Saccharomyces cerevisiae S288C: one gene and its partners. Changing the gene in region 4 together with the main gene of any one other region gives a genetic interaction. Each region holds a gene or a part of one and is shown on either strand. Other genes may lie near its edges.

What was found.
Region 1: mutations in GCN2 (region 4) and RTG1 together harm fitness more than expected from each alone (negative genetic interaction), as found in Saccharomyces cerevisiae (5 studies listed by BioGRID).
Region 2: of GCN2 (region 4) and GCD2, extra expression of one rescues a mutant of the other (dosage rescue), as found in Saccharomyces cerevisiae (5 studies listed by BioGRID, with this or other methods).
Region 3: mutations in GCN2 (region 4) and BAS1 together harm fitness more than expected from each alone (negative genetic interaction), as found in Saccharomyces cerevisiae (4 studies listed by BioGRID).

The regions. Positions count from the first base shown.
Region 1 is NC_001147.6:201,485-204,340, forward strand, and holds RTG1 (Rtg1p), read right to left. Parts: upstream 1,035-2,856; coding exon 501-1,034; downstream 1-500. Other genes in the region: histone deacetylase HST1, read right to left, coding at 1-395; bifunctional DRAP deaminase/tRNA pseudouridine synthase RIB2, read right to left, coding at 1,212-2,856. UniProt on the Saccharomyces cerevisiae protein: Required for a novel path of interorganelle communication between mitochondria, peroxisomes and the nucleus, thereby maintaining a functional metabolic interaction between the tricarboxylic acid and glyoxylate cycles.
Region 2 is NC_001139.9:644,360-648,764, forward strand, and holds GCD2 (translation initiation factor eIF2B subunit delta), read right to left. Parts: upstream 2,457-4,405; coding exon 501-2,456; downstream 1-500. Other genes in the region: TOM complex receptor protein TOM20, read left to right, coding at 1-236; mitochondrial 37S ribosomal protein mS44 MRP13, read right to left, coding at 2,764-3,783; 60S ribosomal protein uL5 RPL11B, read right to left, coding at 4,024-4,405. UniProt on the Saccharomyces cerevisiae protein: Acts as a component of the translation initiation factor 2B (eIF2B) complex, which catalyzes the exchange of GDP for GTP on the eukaryotic initiation factor 2 (eIF2) complex gamma subunit.
Region 3 is NC_001143.9:633,895-638,792, reverse strand, and holds BAS1 (Bas1p), read right to left. Parts: upstream 2,943-4,898; coding exon 507-2,942; downstream 1-506. Other genes in the region: ubiquitin-specific protease UBP11, read left to right, coding at 3,614-4,898. UniProt on the Saccharomyces cerevisiae protein: Activates HIS4 transcription only in combination with PHO2/BAS2. BAS1 is also involved in the regulation of the purine biosynthesis pathway.
Region 4 is NC_001136.10:1,024,560-1,032,058, reverse strand, and holds GCN2 (serine/threonine-protein kinase GCN2), read left to right. Parts: upstream 1-2,009; coding exon 2,010-6,989; downstream 6,990-7,499. Other genes in the region: DPP1 (bifunctional diacylglycerol diphosphate phosphatase/phosphatidate phosphatase), read left to right, coding at 640-1,509; MRX10 (Mrx10p), read left to right, coding at 7,304-7,499. UniProt on the Saccharomyces cerevisiae protein: Metabolic-stress sensing protein kinase that phosphorylates the alpha subunit of eukaryotic translation initiation factor 2 (eIF-2-alpha/SUI2) on 'Ser-52' in response to low amino acid, carbon, or purine availability.

The DNA of each region.
Region 1 (2,856 bases), on a different chromosome or scaffold from region 4:
GAAGTGATATTAGAGTTTAACGCCATAAATAGTTCTTTATCTTTGACGTCGAATCCCAGCAATTTTATCATGAAATAAATGTAGATCGAGTTGACTTCCACTGGCAAAAAATATTCTAAAAAAGTTTTCAAATCGTTGTCCTTCAAAAACAGTCTTGCATTCATAACATCATCTTTAGTGATTGCAGGAAAGATGAATTTGCCCGTCACCTTATCCTTCCCGAGGATACAAGGGTACGTTAATCTCGTTTTCAGCTTCTTCGTAGCATTATTATCTGACTCTTCTTCTTGAGGTCTTTTCAACATTGTCATGGTCAGCTCTCCAACATGAAAGTATCGCCCTTGACTAACCACCAAAATAAAACTAACTATCCGTTGCATTAGCAATATGTTCATTTAGATTTTTTTTTCTCACAAAAACAACAAAAAAGAAGAGAAGTGTTCGTATCACTACCAACGAGGGTTATCACAACATAGCAATAGTGAGAGTCAGAAGTACTTTTAGCTACCATTACCGTACTCACCATACCCTCCGTACTCGAAGGAGCTCAACCTCTTTGCTGGCGGTCTTACTGAGTCATCATTTGTTGCGGCCAGCGGTCCCACGCCAATCCTGGACAGGGCGACTTCAGCGCTGGTGTTCTCTAAGTTTATATCGTTGACAATGGTGCCTGTCTGCTTGGCCAACTGAGTGGCCTTCACCATCAGTTCCACCTCCTCTCTGTTCTGTGTGTCCACTTGATTTTGTAGATGTGATATGTACTCTACCGCCTGTGTGAGAATTTGGCCCTTGTTGGGCTTTCCGTCCTTGGTCCCTGTACCTTTGGCCTTGCTGGACAACCCAAGCGCACCGGGAGTGGATTCACTTAACGTGTCATTGCTACCAGAATTGCCGTAATAATCTCTAAAGAAGTCTTTGGGAATGATACTCAATAGTTCTTGAATACGGTCGTTGATCTTATCTCTGCGCTTGCGGTCATTCTTGAAATTAGCACCGCAGGACCCAGGATCAGTGCCAGCTGGAATGCTGCTCATGTTTGGTGTTGTGCTTTCTTTTGGTTCACTATCTAGTGTTTTTTGTCTGTGTTGTGGTTGAAGTTAATTCCATTCTTTTTACTCAAAATTTTCGGTGGCGCCTTTTTCCGTTTCCAGTAATGAGTGGTTATTGTAGATATGATGTAAGATTACATGATAATATATATGCTAAATAGTCTAAGCTTTGTCGTCACTATTATCGTGGCCTTTGAAGGCAATGATGGTGCACTCCTCCTCGTAGCCTGGTATTTGTATGTAGTTCACACCGTGCGATTCCAGCTTGTTCAAACTTGTATTGTTTTTAACAAATGTATCGGGCTCCATAACCCCCACGAAGACAGTACCAATGGCACCTTGGGTGGCCAGGATTCTATCGCAGCAAGGCTCATTGCCACTTAGCCTGAAGGAACAGGGTTCCATGGTTGTATAGAGCACTGTTCCCATAGGGACTATAGTGGGACAGTTCGGGTGTAACTGCGAGTACTTTATCAAAGCACACTGTTCTGCATGAGTGTTTCCTGGTAGCTCTCTTGAATATCCTGTGGCAAGTACTTGAGTTCCATGAACAAGAACGGCACCAACACTAAAAGCAGTCTTTGTCGGGCCACACTTACCAGCTTCCTTAACGGCCATTTCCATATATCGGCGATGTGGCTCTAAGGCCCATTCAGGGTATTTTGTTCTATAACTCCAGAGAGGTTTTTGCGTATCCGAATTTCTTTCCAATGACTCGTACCGGAAGGCATGCAGCCAGAGGTCGAGATCATTAGTACCGGGATCTGTGTACATTTCAGCCTCGCATTCTTCGCACTGACGGCCAAGCAAGTATTCACCCTCGCTATGAGGATGAATCCAGCTCTCTGCAGGATTAGTCTTGCCAATAGCGTCTAGTTTCAGAACGATGTCATCATAGTTTTGAAGTCCACCGCGGCCCAAATCTGGACCCCAGATATCTGGGTTCGAGTATATAGGGTCATTTGCTATGGGAAATCCCAAGTACTGCAAATGGACTCTTATTTGGTGAGTTCTACCTGTCAATGGTTTACACTTTACAATACTCGTCTGTCCATCATAGCTAACCCTTTGGAAAACGGTCTTGGCATGTTTAGCGTTTTCATCGCTCATCTCGCAAACAGCGTTTAGTGCAACTTTAGGGTTAACAGATCTGACAGGCTTATCTACCTCTACTATACCTATAGGGAACTCGCCCTTCACGCGGGCTACGTATTCTTTGGTGACTTCCCTCGCTTTCATTTGGTCTCCCATTCTATCTGCACCTAATGGAGTCTTGGCTAAAAACATTAGTCCACTAGTTGGCTTGTCTAGTCTATTACATGGATGTACTGAATAACCTAGCTGTCTTTCTAGCATTTTTGTAATGGTATTGAATCTGTATCTGCCCGTTGGGTGCACTGGAATACTGCTGGGTTTATCAATGACAAGGATATCTTCGTCTTCAAACACAATATCTATTGGTTTAGATGTGACTGGCGGTTCATGTCGATGTACTTTATGTGTGATCAGATCACCGTCACGAATGATGGTATCAAGGTTTGCAGGTTCATCGTTTAAGTATACTTTTCCCTCTGCAATGGTTTTGGAATAATAGCTGGGCTCTCGATCCCTGAATTCGCTCACGAATACATCCACCAACTTACGATCTCTCCACCTCTCCTTACAGAAAGTTTTATAAGTGAAAAAATAAGGCTCAATCTTCCTTAAGGGTCCATCAATTGTCACTTCATAATCAGGGTCTGTCTTTTTAGTTTTGTGCCCATCGGTTTGAATAACTCTCAGTCTGAATCCACTCGCATCTTTGACT
Region 2 (4,405 bases), on a different chromosome or scaffold from region 4:
AACAAGGTAAGGAACTGGAAGCAGCCTCTAAGTTTTATAAAGCATTGACTGTATACCCTCAGCCAGCCGATTTATTGGGAATTTACCAAAGATCCATTCCTGAAGCCATTTACGAATATATTATATTAATGATTGCCATCTTGCCTCCTGCTAATGTGGCTTCTTTCGTTAAAGGAGTTGTTGGAAGCAAGGCCGAATCTGATGCGGTTGCTGAAGCTAACGATATCGATGACTGAGAGTAACATTTTGCTTGCTTTTTTTCTCCGTTTTTGTTTCTTTTACTCTGTATATAGCCCTATATAATTACATCATTTCTCTAGCCTAAATCTTGTTATATATACCAAGCTTTTTGGAAAGCTAAGGATAAAAACAATTCTTTTCATTAGATGTATTTTTTCATCGTATTAGGTGTAATATATATATATATGTATATATATATATATATATAATATATATGTAGTATACACACGTGGACGACCATTAACGAATGTTGTATATGCTTATGCGGAACCTTTGTACTCTCTTAAAATAACAGGGACAGATGAAGGTGGCAAAGCGCCGAATTCAGTGATCACTTTTTTAATATATTCTGGTGGTGTTAAATCGTATAAGATGTTGACAATATTTAACGAAGGTAACTCTTGCCAACCATCCAAAATATTTTTGCTGTTGCTGTCTTCTTCATTACTGGCGTCCTTGCTTTCTCCTTCAGATCCTTTCTTACCGCCAATTTTATTACCCTTTGGCTTATTCTCCATTGCTAGCTTTTTCTTTTCAAATTTTCTTTCTTTGATAAATTGGTTTAATAACGCACCTTTATTACCGCGTCTCTCGACTGGATTTTCGTAATCTATATTAACCAGGTCATTTGGATCTGCCAGTTCATTAAATGTGACACTATCCAATTGTACTCTTTGTGAAAACTTCAAACTTTCGCAGCAGACTAATACAGGTATATTTCTTCTCTTAGCGCTCATAGCCAACATTGCTGTCCCAGCTCTTGAATATAGGAACCCATTAGATAGGATAGAATGGGCTCCTAAAAACACATAGTCCACATCCATATTGAATATCGTATCCAAACTTGTAATAAGTGCATACATAACATTGACACCAGCATTTCTTAAAGTTTCTGCCATTTTCCGCCCTTCAAATAGTGGTCTCGAATCGACGACAATCACTTTGATGTTTTTCTTTAAACTGATTGCATTATGCAGTAACAGTTCAGTTAGAACCTTTGATGAACCATATGTCACAATAGTAGTAGATTCTTCAATTTGTGTAGAGGCATTGTCTATAATTAGTTGATCAGCCAGTTCGATTTTTTCTTTAGCAAACTGCCCAATTTTCTCACAAAGGTCTTTTTTGGCGGCTTTGTCGGGGGTAGATGGGTCAATTAATGAAATTTCTTGCTTTAACCATCTGATAGCATTACCCATAGTAACACTTAAAGGTCTAGCTTTTTTCAAAAGATCAATCTGGTGTGACAAATAACTTGTTAAGTTACGTGACAAGGTAGTTCCCTTAGGTGTTTGATAGTCTTTGATAACAATTTGGAAAACCTCTAGCATGGCTATGCAACGTGGGATGGATCCCACGATTTTATAGTGTGCTAGATGAGAAGTTAATAATAATATCGACGGATGGATAAGGTCTTTATTCAATAAAAGTTCCTTAACAGACGATATCAAGCTGGAGTTGTCAAATGATTGTTCTAACACGGTAGGGATCACTGACGATATACCGGGAATGACATTAAACTCACCAGCCTCTAACGAGATAGATGCCAATGTCTTGGCAACATCAGAAGCGTTTGATGAAGCAATCTCTTGTTGTATAGCTGTTGGAGTATTTGTTGACGCAGAACTGGTACCGGCAGAGAGTGCTGCAGAAGAGGCAGGAAGAGTCGTTGTTGTTGAAGCTGGAGCTGATGCAGATACAGTAGACGACGCGTTTGGACCCACGGGCATCAAGGAAGAAGCCGTTAATACGTTAGATCCTGATAATGCACTAGCCACCACGGGGACCATCAACCCAGCAGCGGTGATTCGCGAAGTTTTTGGAGATGATACTGCACTGGTTAAAGCTAAAATTGTCGCTCTTCTTTCTTCAGTAGTTTCCAGATGACCAAAAAGTGTGCTCTTTTTCACGTTTCGTTCATTTTGTTTTTTTTTATTGGCATTTTTTTGCTTTTGCTCTCTTTTCTGTTGTTGCTCACGTTGTAGTTGTTTCTTCTCTTTTTTCATTTGTGCTTGTTGTTGCTGTTGTTCAATGGATATACCATTAGCCTGCTTCATTGCAGCTCTCTTTGCAGCTTTTTCTTGTTTCTTTAGTTCTTTTAGCTCCTTGTTTGTTAATTTCTTTTCTCCATTAGCTGCAGCTGTAGTTGTTGGAGTAGCTTGTTTAGCTTTACTTGGCGGTGTAGCCGACCTAGATTTGGCTTCCGATTCGCTCATAGCAATTTGATTATCGACGCTTCTTTGACAACGTATTTCTTACGTGGTGAAAATAAGATCTTATGCACTTACGCTGATTATCTATAGCTGGTGATGCCTTGTTGTAGAATACTCATTTTCACTAAACTCGAAAAAAAAAAATTGAAAAATTGGAAAAAAGCGAGAGGTACTGAAAATTGTGAAGAGATTCCCGGGTAAATATAAACATAATTAATACAATAATAGCAATATATGTGACGAACTGTGTTCTACTTTTTAGTATTTACAGGTATGTTTATTTATATATTTCCTATGGGGTGTTTTGGTACTATTTTTCCTCTTTTTCGGTGGATTCCTGAGGAGGTGGTGTTTCCAACAGTCCCAACGCTTTCAAATGCGTGTCGTATGGATCGCTGGATTCACTTAATGCATTTTGATATTGGCGTATAAATTCTTGCAATTCTAGATATTGAGCATTGTGTTGATCGATGTCCAATAATGTTCTTGCAATAAGGTATATCCCCTCGTATTTGCTTAGCAAGTCCTTTAGTTCCGCGCCACTTGATGAATTGGGGATATCTGGTAAACTAATATCTACAGGTTGCAAGCCCGTCAGCTCTGGGGTAAATCCAATCTGTCTACCTAATGTTGCAACAAGAATATTTGCTAGTCCAGTATTATTTTTTCTATTTAATACCTTTTTCCAAGCAACCTGCAGTTTCCTCTGAGCAATTTCTGCATCTTTATAGTCTTTCAACCTATTTCGATGCAAAGCACACATGATATTAGTATTAAAAAAATGCTCGATATCAAATACGGATGGATTTTGCGCTTTGAGAAACTTGTGCTCAATACCATATAAGAGTCCTACCATGTGCGCATATTTACCGATTTTGAAAAATGACGCAGTCAACATCTTTTGAACATGAATTGGTGAGATGTACGTCCAAATAGCGCGCTTTCTTATGGAGGTCCCTGTCCATTCTTTGAACCAATCTAGTAGTTCTGTCGAGTTGGGTTCAACCGAATAAATAAAATCATTTAACGTTTGCTTCGACAGTGGCTTTACGGGAGGTCTCGGTTGTAATGGTTCCCTTGTTTTTGGATCCCTAATATCTTTAGTTAACAATATCTGAGCATTCTTGGGACGGTAAATGAATGGTTTTAGTTTCGCATCTGTCTTGTGGTATATCAAGAATTCATCCAGCTTTGCTTTCGCAATTTCGCCGGTAGATGCAAAACGTCTCCAAACTGTACTTCTGAACATTTTCTTGTTGGTCGTTGCTCGGTGCAATGCCCTTATCAACAGTATTGGTCCCTCATTAATCACCACTGTTATGGTTCCCATTTTCTTAATAAGAAAGGTTTAGCTTTTTTTCAGCACATTTTCTATTACCCTGCATGGTGAGTATCAAATAAGTGCCAATAAATTGGGTATGAATACAACTAAATACATTGACAAAGTGTTCACAACGCATCGAAGCGCTAGACTTGCAAATGTGATGAGGATATATGATATTTTTGGGATATTTTATTTGTTCTTATATATTAAGTAGTTGATGTTGTCACTGACTATACCGAGACCAAATTATTTATCGAGCACATCAGCGTCGTACTTTTGCTTGAACCAAGAGACGGTGTCTTCCTTAGTTGTCTTGTGGGAGTTACCAACAGTACCCTTACATCTCTTTCTTCTAGTGACTCTAGCACCTGGTCTGTTCATGACGACATAGAAATCCATACCGAAAATACCGATGGATGGGTCATACTTGATACCCAAGTCAATGTGTTCGTCAATACCGAAACCGAAGTTACCGGTAGCAGAGAAGTTTCTGTCTCTCAATTGGTATTCCTTGACCTTCAAACCTCTTTCCAAAATTTCTTCAGCCTTTGGACCTCTGACGGTAACGTGAACAGCAATTTTTTCGTTTCTTCTGATACCGAAAGTTCTGACAGTGTATCTGGCCTTG
Region 3 (4,898 bases), on a different chromosome or scaffold from region 4:
CTCTTCATGGATGATGGGTTTTAAAAAATTAGTCAAGACATAATTCTTAAAGTTCATAGTCTCATTTTTCATTTTCTTTTTGCCTGCTTTCTCTTTTATACATCGCCGCATAATTTACTAAACGCCCTTTGTGTTTGTGGGCGGAAAGAAATATATTCCCTTAAAATTTCCAGGAAATTATGTTGCTACAATGACTTATAAAGGGAAAAAATAAGAAGAGAAATCTTGGAAGAATACCCTAGTAAAATAGTGTACAAGGCAAAGTTCTTAATTATGCAAAATCGCCGTATATGAAATAGAACAACTTTTTATACAGCTTAAATACAGAATTCAAGTATGTTAATCAACATGAAAGAAAAAAAAAAAAAAATGCGAGTCATGAAACTACACGTTTTTTTCAGAGAATATTATCCATCTTGTGCTATGTATAATATACACTTATGCTTATTACAAAACTAATATGTTAAACAATTGAAAGATTTGTGTTTTTTTTCGGCCTTGCCTTCTCAACTAGGATTCAGTGGCAGGACTGACCCATTATCGGTAGAACCTCCTGACGTCATATCATGCTCGCTCGTCTTCTTAGCCTCATTATGCAGTGTATCTGCCTTTTTATCCAACAGTTCGTTAAAAAAATCGTATCCTCCGCTATGGGAACCTAGGCTGCTATCTTCTGTATGTGAGCCAATCCCTTGATGTACCACTTGAGGCTTGGCACCATCATTTTCAGCTGACTTTTCAACTGGAGGATTTGGATTCGTAGTAGCCAAGGATCTTAACGTTTCCCAAAAATCCAGGCCGTCTTCATCTCTCAATGGAGTATCAGATCTGGATGTAGTCCTTGATATCTCCGACTGATCAATGTGATTGAATTTATTGGTTGTCACAGATGATGAAGAATGATGCTGAGATGATTCACTTTTTCTTTTTTCTTTTTTCTTAGTTTTACTGCCGTTACTTCTTACTGAATTTGGAGATGGATTGAGTAACTTATTCAAGTCAGCACCTCTTGTCGCATCTGATGAGCCTAAATGAGGCCGTATAGTTGGTGGCAAATAGTTGAAATGCGCTATTCTATTAGGACCTACATCAGGTGGCATTTCTGAACCGCTCGTTGTATATGATGCCGTCGAACTTGGTGCCTTGCCATTTGTTCCATTGAAATTCGGTGACATACTATTAGCACTAACGTTTCCTTGAATGATTTCATTATTTGTAGCGGTAGAATTAGTTGGGATCAATGTATTTGCTTGAGGATAAAATACAGACGGGCTGTTTGTTTCTCTATTGCTTTGTGAACCAAGTTCATTTGCATTGTCAGCGGGATTGTGTGAAGTTGCTTCCAAGCTGAATGCGTTATAGTTGGGTGTTCTTGATAAAAAATCGCTATCCATGTTGTCCAGAGAAGTCCTATATTCTGGGTTAAAAGTGTCACTATTTGAATTTAACCCTGGAAGACCATTTCCCAGTTGTCTACCCATATGTGGGAAACTATCCATTAATAGAGGGTTTCCATTTATATTTCCTATATTTGACAATCCAGTATTGCTGCTGACAGGATGGTCTGTGGATGTAACATAATGATTGTGAATATGTTGATGTATCGAAATTTTTAAAGAGTACTTCTTAGCTTGGTCAACCAATTCTTTTACTAATTTTGTGCTGTCAATAGTTCCGTTAGAAATTGACAAACCTTGACCATCTTTTAATGTAAATTTCCATTGTGTGCTAGAGGAATTTGGTTCTCTAGTTTTCACAGTAGAATAAGCATGCTTCGGAGAATCTGAAATACTATTACTATTCATCATATGCTCATCGAGAGATGCTGGATTGAATGCTGGGGGAAGGCTTGTCTGTGGGCTATCTGAGATTCCTCCAGGACTTTGCTTGTTCATTTGAGAAAGACCTTCAATTGGTAAAGATACTTTGCTCCTAATGCTACCACTGGTATGAGTCTGACCGACTTGCGTCATCCTGATTGGTGGAGGTGCAGATATCTCTTTTAAGGGAGGTAATGCTTGTGGCTTGCTGTCATTTAAAATGGGTCCATCATTATCCTTTAATCTTGGTAGTTTGCTCGATTCGTTCTCTTTAACATTCAATATATCCTGCTTTATCAATGAAGGGTTGTTCTGTTGAGATAGCTGCAACTGTTCTTCTTTATTCGGTGTAGAATCTGAGCGTATATCAGAATCGGCGATTGGATGTTGTCGGAGTTTTCCGTCTGTCATGTCTATGTTCTTGTTTTCTTTTATAGCCTTTGTTATTACTTCTGATGCTTGTCCTCGCACAACCATAGTAATAATTTTCCGCCATCTGTTCCTGCACGTTAAACTTGGTCTGAATTCCATTTCCGACGAAATCTTTCTCCATTTCGTGCCGTATGCCTTCACTTTACTTATCAGATTTAAATCTTCCTCGAGCGTCCATTCTCTTAATCTACCTTTACTTCCAGGTCCCAACACTTCAATGTACCTTTTCGCACATTGATCCTCTGTTCTTCCAGGGATATCCATGGAGATACTCAGCCAGTGAGGCCCATGTTCTTCATAAGCTTTCAAGAGCTGCTCATCCTCTTCTTGTGTCCATTTACCTTTCTTCAAGTTTGGGTCCAGAGATCCTGTCCAACGCTTTCTTACATCCTTTGAAGTTCTTACGGTGTGTTTGAATCGTGTAGCTAAAACATCCCAAGCAATACATTTAGAAAGATGGTTGGATTGTTGAATTGTTTTTACGTCTTCAAGTCCATTCTCATAGCCTAACTCCTTTGCGGATTCGTTTACTAGCGATCGTAGCATATTATCGTCGTCCTTTGACCATGAATTTCTTCCATTTTTCCTGTGTGTCTGATAGCCAAGTGATTCAGTCACTTCAAGTAAATCGAAGCCGGATCCTCTTTTTGGCTTACTTTTTCGTATATCTTTGGTACTTATATTCGACATTCTCGATAAAATGTATTCTGCGATAAAAAAAAAAGAGCAAAAACGCTACAACAAAAGTTTTAAACAAAACTAATTTTGTTTACCCCACTAGAGATCAACAATTGTTGCAGAGAACGATTCAAATCAGCAAACCGGATTATCAGAAAGCAAATAATTAAACACAAAAAACGTACACTAGTCCTTTATAGTAAACTAATAAGAAAAATTTCTTATTATATAAATATAGCTGGTTAATTTCGATTGCTTTAAAGTTTCCTGGGGCTTTATTCTGTGACTGGACCCTATTTCTTCTAAAGGTCTTAACATAATTACTCATTCTCATTTTTTATTTTTTTCTTCGTCTGGCTCATCGCATTGTTCGGACCAAAAAAAAAAAAAAAAAGAAAAAAAGAAAAAAAAAAATAGTTTCTCCGTTGCACATCGTCAAAGGTGATTTCCCCACATCTATTATAAAGTTTTTCCGGAGTGCTTAAAAAAGGGATTGACATTTCTTCGAGAATTAGTTGAGAAACCCTTTTAGATTGTGCGCTGAGTAATCATTAGGTTGATTATAAGCTCTGAAAGGTTACTGCTACTGCTAGTAGTCTTTCAGGATCTTCAGTAAACTAAATAACCGTGGCATTGATCTTACTTTCCGTTTTCTTTTCGCTAAATCGGAAGTCATAAAGACAATGTTATTAAACCCAGATCAAATTCTAAACCTAGTTCGAAAAGTATATGAAGTAGATATTAAACAGTTTTATTCGCAATTACGGCTAAAGAACTTAAGAGGATTGTTAGACCATGCTGCTCATCTGTTTAATGTTTACCTGAGGGATTTAGAAATCAATCAGGAAATGGAAGCTTTGACAGCATTTATTATTGGTTGTTATTATCTGTACCTTATTATTCCACAATCGTTACAATTCCAAACAAGAAATAATCTCTACAGCAGTTACGCAAAGCTAAAAAACGACTATCAAGACGAACACGTGATGGGTTATGTGTTAAAAGTGGTAAGAGATGAAAGTACTGTTATTGTTGACCGGTATTTAGCGGAGTCAAACGGAATTTGCAGGACCATAAAAAGAAAAAGAGCCTACTCCTTACCGCTACGGCCTTTACCTGTTCATATGGCCTCTTTGTCAATACATAACAAGTTTGATGGCTCACTACATGAAATACCGAATGAGCTAACAAAACCAACAAATGATAATTCGAAAGAGGACATAGTCAGGGAAAGTAATCAGATAGCATCAAGTAATAAATTGGAAGCTGGTTCTGAAGTGGCGTACTACACAAGCAAAGAAGCATTATCAAAACCCTCGTATTTAAAACTCAGTACTGGAAAGGATGCATTATTCAAAACGCTGTCTAGTCCAGCAACTGCTCCCCCCGTGCACTCCTTGGAGGTTTCGTCACAAATCAGAGATTCTAGCCAAGATTCTTCATCCTCTTTATCCAAGGTGGAAAAGCCAAAGGAGGAAGAAGGAAAGATCGAGGCCATAGAATCTTCGGCCCCGAAAGCTTACAATCTACCAGTAATTGAAGATTCTAATGATCTGTTATCAGAGTTATCTATTACTGGCCTGCAAAATCCATGCAATACATGCTATATTAACAGTATAATTCAATGTCTGTTTGGCACTACCTTATTTCGGGATTTGTTTTTAACCAAGAAATATAGGCTATTCCTCAATACTAACAAATATCCGAAAGAAGTCCAACTTTCCCGCTCGATTTACGTTTTGTTCAAAAAAATGTATTTGAATGGAGGAAGAGCGATTATACCAAATAGATTCTTAAAAATGTGCAAGAAGTTAAGGCCAGATTTGAACATCCCAGATGATCAACAGGATACACAGGAATTTCTACTAATAGTTTTAGCACGAATACATGAAGAGCTCTCGAACGAAAATGTTGTCAAGTATTATCCAGATCTAGTGTCATATGATGCGAATGCTTTACAAGTTAACC
Region 4 (7,499 bases):
TAGCAGCTTTTAAGTGAGAATCTTATTCTTAGTCTACATCGTTACATTGTATCAGTCACAGGTACGGAGAGAAATTATACTTTTCGATTTCATTCAATGTAGTTTCTTTTTTACATTAAATATAGTTTTCCAGTAGTGCACTATTATTAAGGCGCTTCTGTTTTTAGTCAACACTTTTTCAGATAGTACCTTTCAGGTGGTTAGAGTGCGATCCCTTTAAAAAAAAGTATTCGTCAACGATGACAGGGTAAAGAATAAATGCAGCACGCCTGGCGTATACTGCTATAATTGTACATCATGTTATCGGCGTTGATTCTCAATTGTTTGGTGATTAGCTTTTATATATAGATAGAAACCCAACGTTGGATAACCTCACGACTAACTTTTTTGTATTTTAGAAATAATTTGTCGATCGGTTGTATATTTTTGTCATATATTATCTAGAAACGTTAGGGAATAAACTGTTATCTAGGGTCCACTAACATACGCGCAGTTCGGAAATCAGCAAACATCACTTAAAGGACACCTGCTATAAACTGAATTGTGTCCAATTTTTCGAGTAGTTAGCAGTTCAATAAAGGGCACGTTATCAATTGTTAAAGGCAAAGAATCAGAATTAAATCATAGCAAACGACCAAAATGAACAGAGTTTCGTTTATTAAAACGCCTTTCAACATAGGGGCGAAATGGAGATTAGAAGATGTCTTTTTGCTCATTATCATGATACTTCTTAACTACCCAGTGTATTACCAACAACCGTTCGAACGTCAGTTTTACATTAACGATCTCACTATATCGCATCCTTATGCGACAACTGAACGTGTAAATAACAACATGTTGTTTGTTTATAGTTTTGTCGTGCCATCTTTAACCATATTGATAATTGGTTCCATTTTGGCCGATAGAAGACATTTGATTTTTATTTTGTACACATCTCTCCTTGGTTTATCACTCGCTTGGTTCAGTACGAGTTTCTTTACAAACTTCATCAAGAATTGGATTGGAAGACTAAGACCAGATTTTCTAGATCGTTGCCAACCTGTTGAAGGCTTGCCATTGGACACTTTATTTACTGCAAAAGATGTGTGTACGACTAAGAATCACGAACGTCTGTTGGATGGGTTTAGGACAACTCCGTCAGGTCATTCAAGTGAAAGCTTTGCAGGACTGGGTTATTTGTACTTCTGGCTATGTGGGCAACTTTTGACTGAATCACCGTTGATGCCTTTATGGAGAAAAATGGTGGCCTTTCTACCACTGTTAGGAGCTGCACTAATTGCTCTATCCAGAACTCAAGATTACAGACATCATTTCGTCGATGTAATTTTAGGGTCTATGTTGGGTTATATAATGGCACACTTTTTCTACAGAAGAATCTTCCCACCCATTGATGATCCTCTTCCGTTCAAACCATTGATGGACGATTCAGATGTCACCCTGGAGGAAGCAGTCACCCATCAGAGGATCCCGGATGAGGAATTACATCCTTTGTCCGATGAAGGTATGTAAGAATAAAAAAGAATATATACTCCACATGACATACGAAATATACGTATTTATTGTTCTGTATGGAATAACAGCGATTACATAAAGATGACATGTTACTTCTTTATTCAAATTAATCTTGACGTGCAAGGGCCTGCTTGTTATTTCATCGGACAATCCCAACATCACTTTACACGAAAGCCTTAGAAGTTTATTATTTGTTTTAAGTTGGACTATAGTGATGTAGGTAGTTTCTTAGGAAGCAGTTGAGTAGCTGATTTTTGAGATAAGAACCTGGTGTAATCAATCTATAAACAGCCTAGAATCTTTTTAAGCAAATTTACTTTTACATTTATCTCTATCTTCTTTCTTACAAGAAGTTATTTTCATTACAAAAGGACATTAAATACACTAAATTTTCAATCTTTACATTGTTGGAAAGCCTCGTTGTCTTTTAAGATTTTATAAGCATTGATTTTTTTTTTCAATAATTTTCCGTTCCCCTTAACACATACTATGTATAAATGTCATTGAGTCATCTCACTTTAGATCAATATTATGAAATACAGTGCAACGAACTTGAAGCGATACGTTCCATTTATATGGATGACTTTACTGACTTAACTAAAAGAAAGTCTAGCTGGGATAAGCAGCCACAGATTATATTCGAAATTACGCTTCGATCTGTTGACAAAGAGCCGGTTGAATCTTCTATAACATTACATTTTGCGATGACCCCAATGTATCCTTATACCGCTCCAGAAATAGAATTCAAAAATGTACAAAATGTAATGGATAGTCAATTGCAAATGCTGAAAAGTGAATTTAAGAAAATCCACAACACCTCCCGAGGCCAAGAGATTATATTTGAAATTACATCTTTTACTCAAGAAAAACTGGACGAATTTCAAAATGTGGTAAATACACAGTCCTTGGAAGATGATCGATTACAAAGAATCAAAGAAACTAAAGAACAATTAGAAAAGGAAGAAAGAGAAAAACAACAGGAAACAATAAAAAAAAGATCAGATGAGCAGCGAAGGATAGATGAAATTGTTCAAAGAGAGTTGGAGAAAAGACAAGATGATGATGATGATTTGCTATTCAACAGAACAACCCAGTTAGATTTACAACCACCTTCAGAATGGGTTGCATCAGGTGAAGCTATTGTCTTTTCAAAAACTATAAAGGCAAAATTGCCTAATAACTCAATGTTCAAGTTTAAAGCAGTTGTAAATCCTAAGCCAATAAAACTGACATCAGATATATTTAGTTTTTCCAAACAATTTCTTGTGAAGCCTTATATACCACCAGAATCTCCGTTGGCAGATTTTTTAATGTCTTCTGAAATGATGGAAAATTTCTACTATTTGCTATCTGAAATTGAATTGGATAATAGCTATTTCAACACAAGTAATGGAAAAAAAGAAATAGCAAATTTAGAGAAAGAGTTAGAGACGGTGTTGAAAGCTAAGCATGACAATGTGAATCGATTGTTCGGTTATACGGTGGAGCGCATGGGGAGAAATAATGCAACGTTTGTTTGGAAAATAAGACTCTTGACAGAGTACTGTAACTACTATCCATTGGGAGATTTGATACAATCTGTTGGATTTGTTAACTTAGCAACAGCGCGTATTTGGATGATTAGATTGCTTGAAGGATTGGAGGCCATACACAAATTGGGAATTGTTCATAAATGTATCAACTTAGAAACCGTGATCCTGGTGAAGGATGCAGATTTTGGAAGCACTATTCCCAAGTTAGTTCACTCCACTTATGGCTACACTGTTTTGAATATGCTATCGAGATATCCAAATAAAAATGGTTCTTCGGTTGAGTTATCTCCAAGTACATGGATAGCCCCTGAGTTGTTGAAATTCAATAACGCCAAACCTCAAAGATTAACTGATATTTGGCAACTTGGTGTTTTGTTTATCCAGATAATCAGTGGATCTGATATAGTGATGAATTTTGAAACGCCTCAAGAATTCCTAGATTCAACAAGTATGGATGAAACTTTATATGATCTTCTTTCGAAAATGCTTAATAACGATCCGAAGAAAAGATTAGGAACATTAGAACTACTGCCCATGAAATTCTTAAGGACCAATATTGACTCTACAATCAATCGATTTAACTTAGTTTCCGAAAGTGTCAATTCTAATTCCTTGGAGTTAACTCCTGGAGATACCATAACCGTTCGGGGCAATGGAGGTAGAACACTTTCACAATCGAGTATACGAAGAAGATCATTTAATGTTGGTTCCAGATTCTCTTCTATAAATCCTGCAACGCGATCACGATATGCTTCTGACTTTGAAGAGATTGCAGTTTTAGGCCAGGGCGCATTTGGACAAGTTGTCAAGGCACGTAATGCTCTCGATAGCAGATACTATGCGATCAAGAAGATTAGACATACAGAAGAAAAGTTATCTACTATATTGAGTGAAGTAATGCTGTTAGCAAGCTTAAATCATCAATATGTTGTGCGTTACTATGCTGCATGGTTAGAAGAAGACAGTATGGATGAAAACGTTTTTGAATCAACTGATGAAGAAAGTGACTTGAGCGAATCTTCCTCTGATTTTGAGGAAAATGATTTATTAGATCAAAGCAGTATTTTTAAAAATAGAACAAATCACGATTTGGATAATAGTAACTGGGATTTCATATCGGGGTCAGGATATCCGGATATTGTCTTTGAAAATAGTTCTCGTGATGATGAAAATGAAGATCTAGACCATGATACTTCCTCGACTTCCTCGAGCGAAAGTCAAGATGATACTGATAAAGAATCAAAGAGTATCCAGAACGTTCCAAGAAGGAGGAATTTTGTAAAACCGATGACTGCTGTTAAGAAGAAAAGTACGCTTTTTATTCAAATGGAGTACTGTGAAAATAGAACGCTATATGATTTGATCCATTCTGAAAATTTAAATCAACAACGTGATGAATATTGGAGGTTATTTCGACAAATTTTGGAAGCACTGAGTTATATACATTCCCAGGGTATCATTCATAGGGATCTGAAGCCAATGAATATTTTTATAGATGAATCGAGAAATGTTAAAATCGGTGATTTTGGGTTAGCTAAGAACGTCCATAGATCTCTGGATATACTTAAGCTAGATTCACAGAATTTGCCAGGCAGCTCAGATAATTTAACATCCGCCATTGGTACAGCAATGTATGTTGCTACTGAAGTTTTAGATGGTACAGGTCACTATAATGAAAAGATTGATATGTATTCACTTGGAATCATTTTTTTTGAAATGATCTATCCTTTCAGTACAGGTATGGAGAGAGTTAATATTTTGAAAAAGTTACGATCAGTGTCGATAGAATTTCCTCCTGATTTCGACGATAATAAGATGAAAGTTGAAAAGAAAATTATAAGGTTACTCATAGACCATGATCCCAATAAAAGGCCTGGTGCTAGGACATTATTAAATAGTGGTTGGCTTCCTGTGAAGCATCAGGATGAAGTAATCAAAGAGGCTTTAAAAAGTTTGTCGAATCCTTCATCCCCTTGGCAACAGCAAGTTCGAGAAAGTTTATTTAACCAATCTTACAGTCTAACAAATGATATTCTATTTGATAACTCAGTTCCAACATCCACTCCTTTCGCAAACATTCTCAGGTCCCAAATGACAGAAGAGGTAGTTAAAATTTTCAGGAAACATGGAGGAATTGAAAATAATGCTCCTCCGAGGATTTTTCCAAAGGCCCCCATATACGGTACGCAGAATGTATATGAAGTGCTTGACAAGGGCGGTACCGTCTTGCAGTTACAATATGATTTAACTTATCCTATGGCTAGGTATCTATCTAAAAATCCAAGTCTGATTTCTAAGCAATATAGGATGCAGCACGTTTACCGACCTCCTGATCATTCAAGGTCAAGTTTGGAACCTAGAAAGTTTGGTGAGATTGACTTCGACATAATTTCAAAATCTTCCTCAGAGTCAGGATTTTATGATGCAGAAAGCTTGAAAATTATCGATGAAATATTAACCGTATTTCCTGTATTTGAGAAAACAAACACTTTTTTCATATTAAATCATGCTGATATTTTGGAGAGTGTTTTCAACTTTACAAATATTGATAAAGCCCAAAGGCCTCTAGTTTCACGAATGTTGTCGCAAGTAGGCTTTGCAAGGTCCTTCAAGGAAGTAAAGAATGAACTAAAGGCGCAACTGAACATATCTTCTACGGCATTGAATGATTTGGAGTTATTTGATTTTAGACTGGACTTCGAAGCAGCCAAAAAACGCCTGTATAAATTGATGATTGATAGTCCGCATCTAAAAAAAATTGAGGACTCTTTGTCCCATATATCAAAGGTTCTCAGTTACCTAAAACCCTTAGAAGTTGCAAGAAATGTTGTGATATCTCCTTTGAGTAACTACAATAGCGCTTTTTACAAAGGAGGTATCATGTTTCATGCAGTTTATGACGATGGATCCTCACGTAATATGATAGCTGCTGGAGGGAGGTATGACACTTTGATATCCTTTTTTGCCAGACCATCAGGAAAAAAGAGCAGCAATACTCGTAAGGCTGTAGGTTTCAACTTAGCGTGGGAAACAATATTCGGTATAGCCCAAAACTATTTCAAACTCGCTTCTGGAAATAGGATAAAGAAGAGAAATAGGTTTTTGAAAGATACAGCTGTTGATTGGAAGCCAAGCAGGTGTGATGTATTGATATCGAGTTTTTCGAACTCTTTGTTGGACACAATCGGGGTTACAATACTGAATACATTGTGGAAGCAAAACATTAAAGCGGATATGTTAAGGGATTGTTCCTCGGTGGATGATGTCGTTACTGGCGCTCAACAGGATGGTATAGACTGGATTTTGCTGATTAAGCAACAAGCGTATCCACTAACCAATCACAAGAGAAAGTACAAGCCATTAAAAATAAAAAAATTGAGCACTAATGTTGACATAGATTTAGATCTTGATGAGTTTTTAACCTTGTACCAACAAGAAACTGGTAATAAATCTTTGATCAACGATAGTCTCACTTTGGGCGATAAGGCTGATGAATTTAAAAGATGGGATGAAAACAGCAGTGCCGGTAGTAGTCAAGAAGGTGACATAGATGATGTTGTTGCTGGTTCGACTAATAATCAAAAGGTAATTTATGTTCCAAACATGGCTACAAGATCTAAGAAAGCTAATAAAAGGGAAAAGTGGGTTTATGAGGATGCAGCCAGAAATTCTTCGAATATGATATTACACAATTTATCCAATGCACCAATTATCACTGTTGATGCCTTAAGAGATGAAACTTTAGAAATAATCTCAATTACTTCTTTGGCTCAGAAGGAAGAATGGCTGAGAAAAGTTTTTGGGTCAGGTAATAACTCGACTCCTAGAAGCTTTGCCACGAGCATTTATAATAACCTCTCCAAAGAGGCTCATAAAGGGAATAGGTGGGCAATATTATACTGCCACAAAACCGGAAAATCATCTGTTATCGATTTACAGAGGTAGGCCTTTAAAGATCTGTGCGGCGCTATAACGCATCAGTTAAAGGTAAAGTATATACAATGTCTTAGATACTATATTTAGGCTAGCTGATTCATCTAATTCACCGTTGTAAAGGGGGTAGGTCACCTTTCTTATACATATTCCTGATACTAAAGACAAATGTAGGTTTAATGAGATGGTCTACTTCTTCTCTCCTTTCTCTACTTTCCATTTTGTATTTAATTTTTCGGTGAATATAAATGTGTGCGTATGTTGTGTGAGGCTCCTCTAGCTCCTACGGGAGACATTTAATAAATGATCATAATATGGCGTGAAGAATGCTTTCATTCAGAAGTTTGACTAGCACATTCGGTTTCGTATCACGATTCCAAATTAGACGGTTAGGAACTAGTTTATCAATACAGAATTTAGAAGTGCAAGATGGCCGTTGGAAAGGTAAACTAGCTACAGAGAAGAAGACCAATAGGGAACACAAGTCAGTGGATACGAATATCAAGACAATGAAGATGCTTA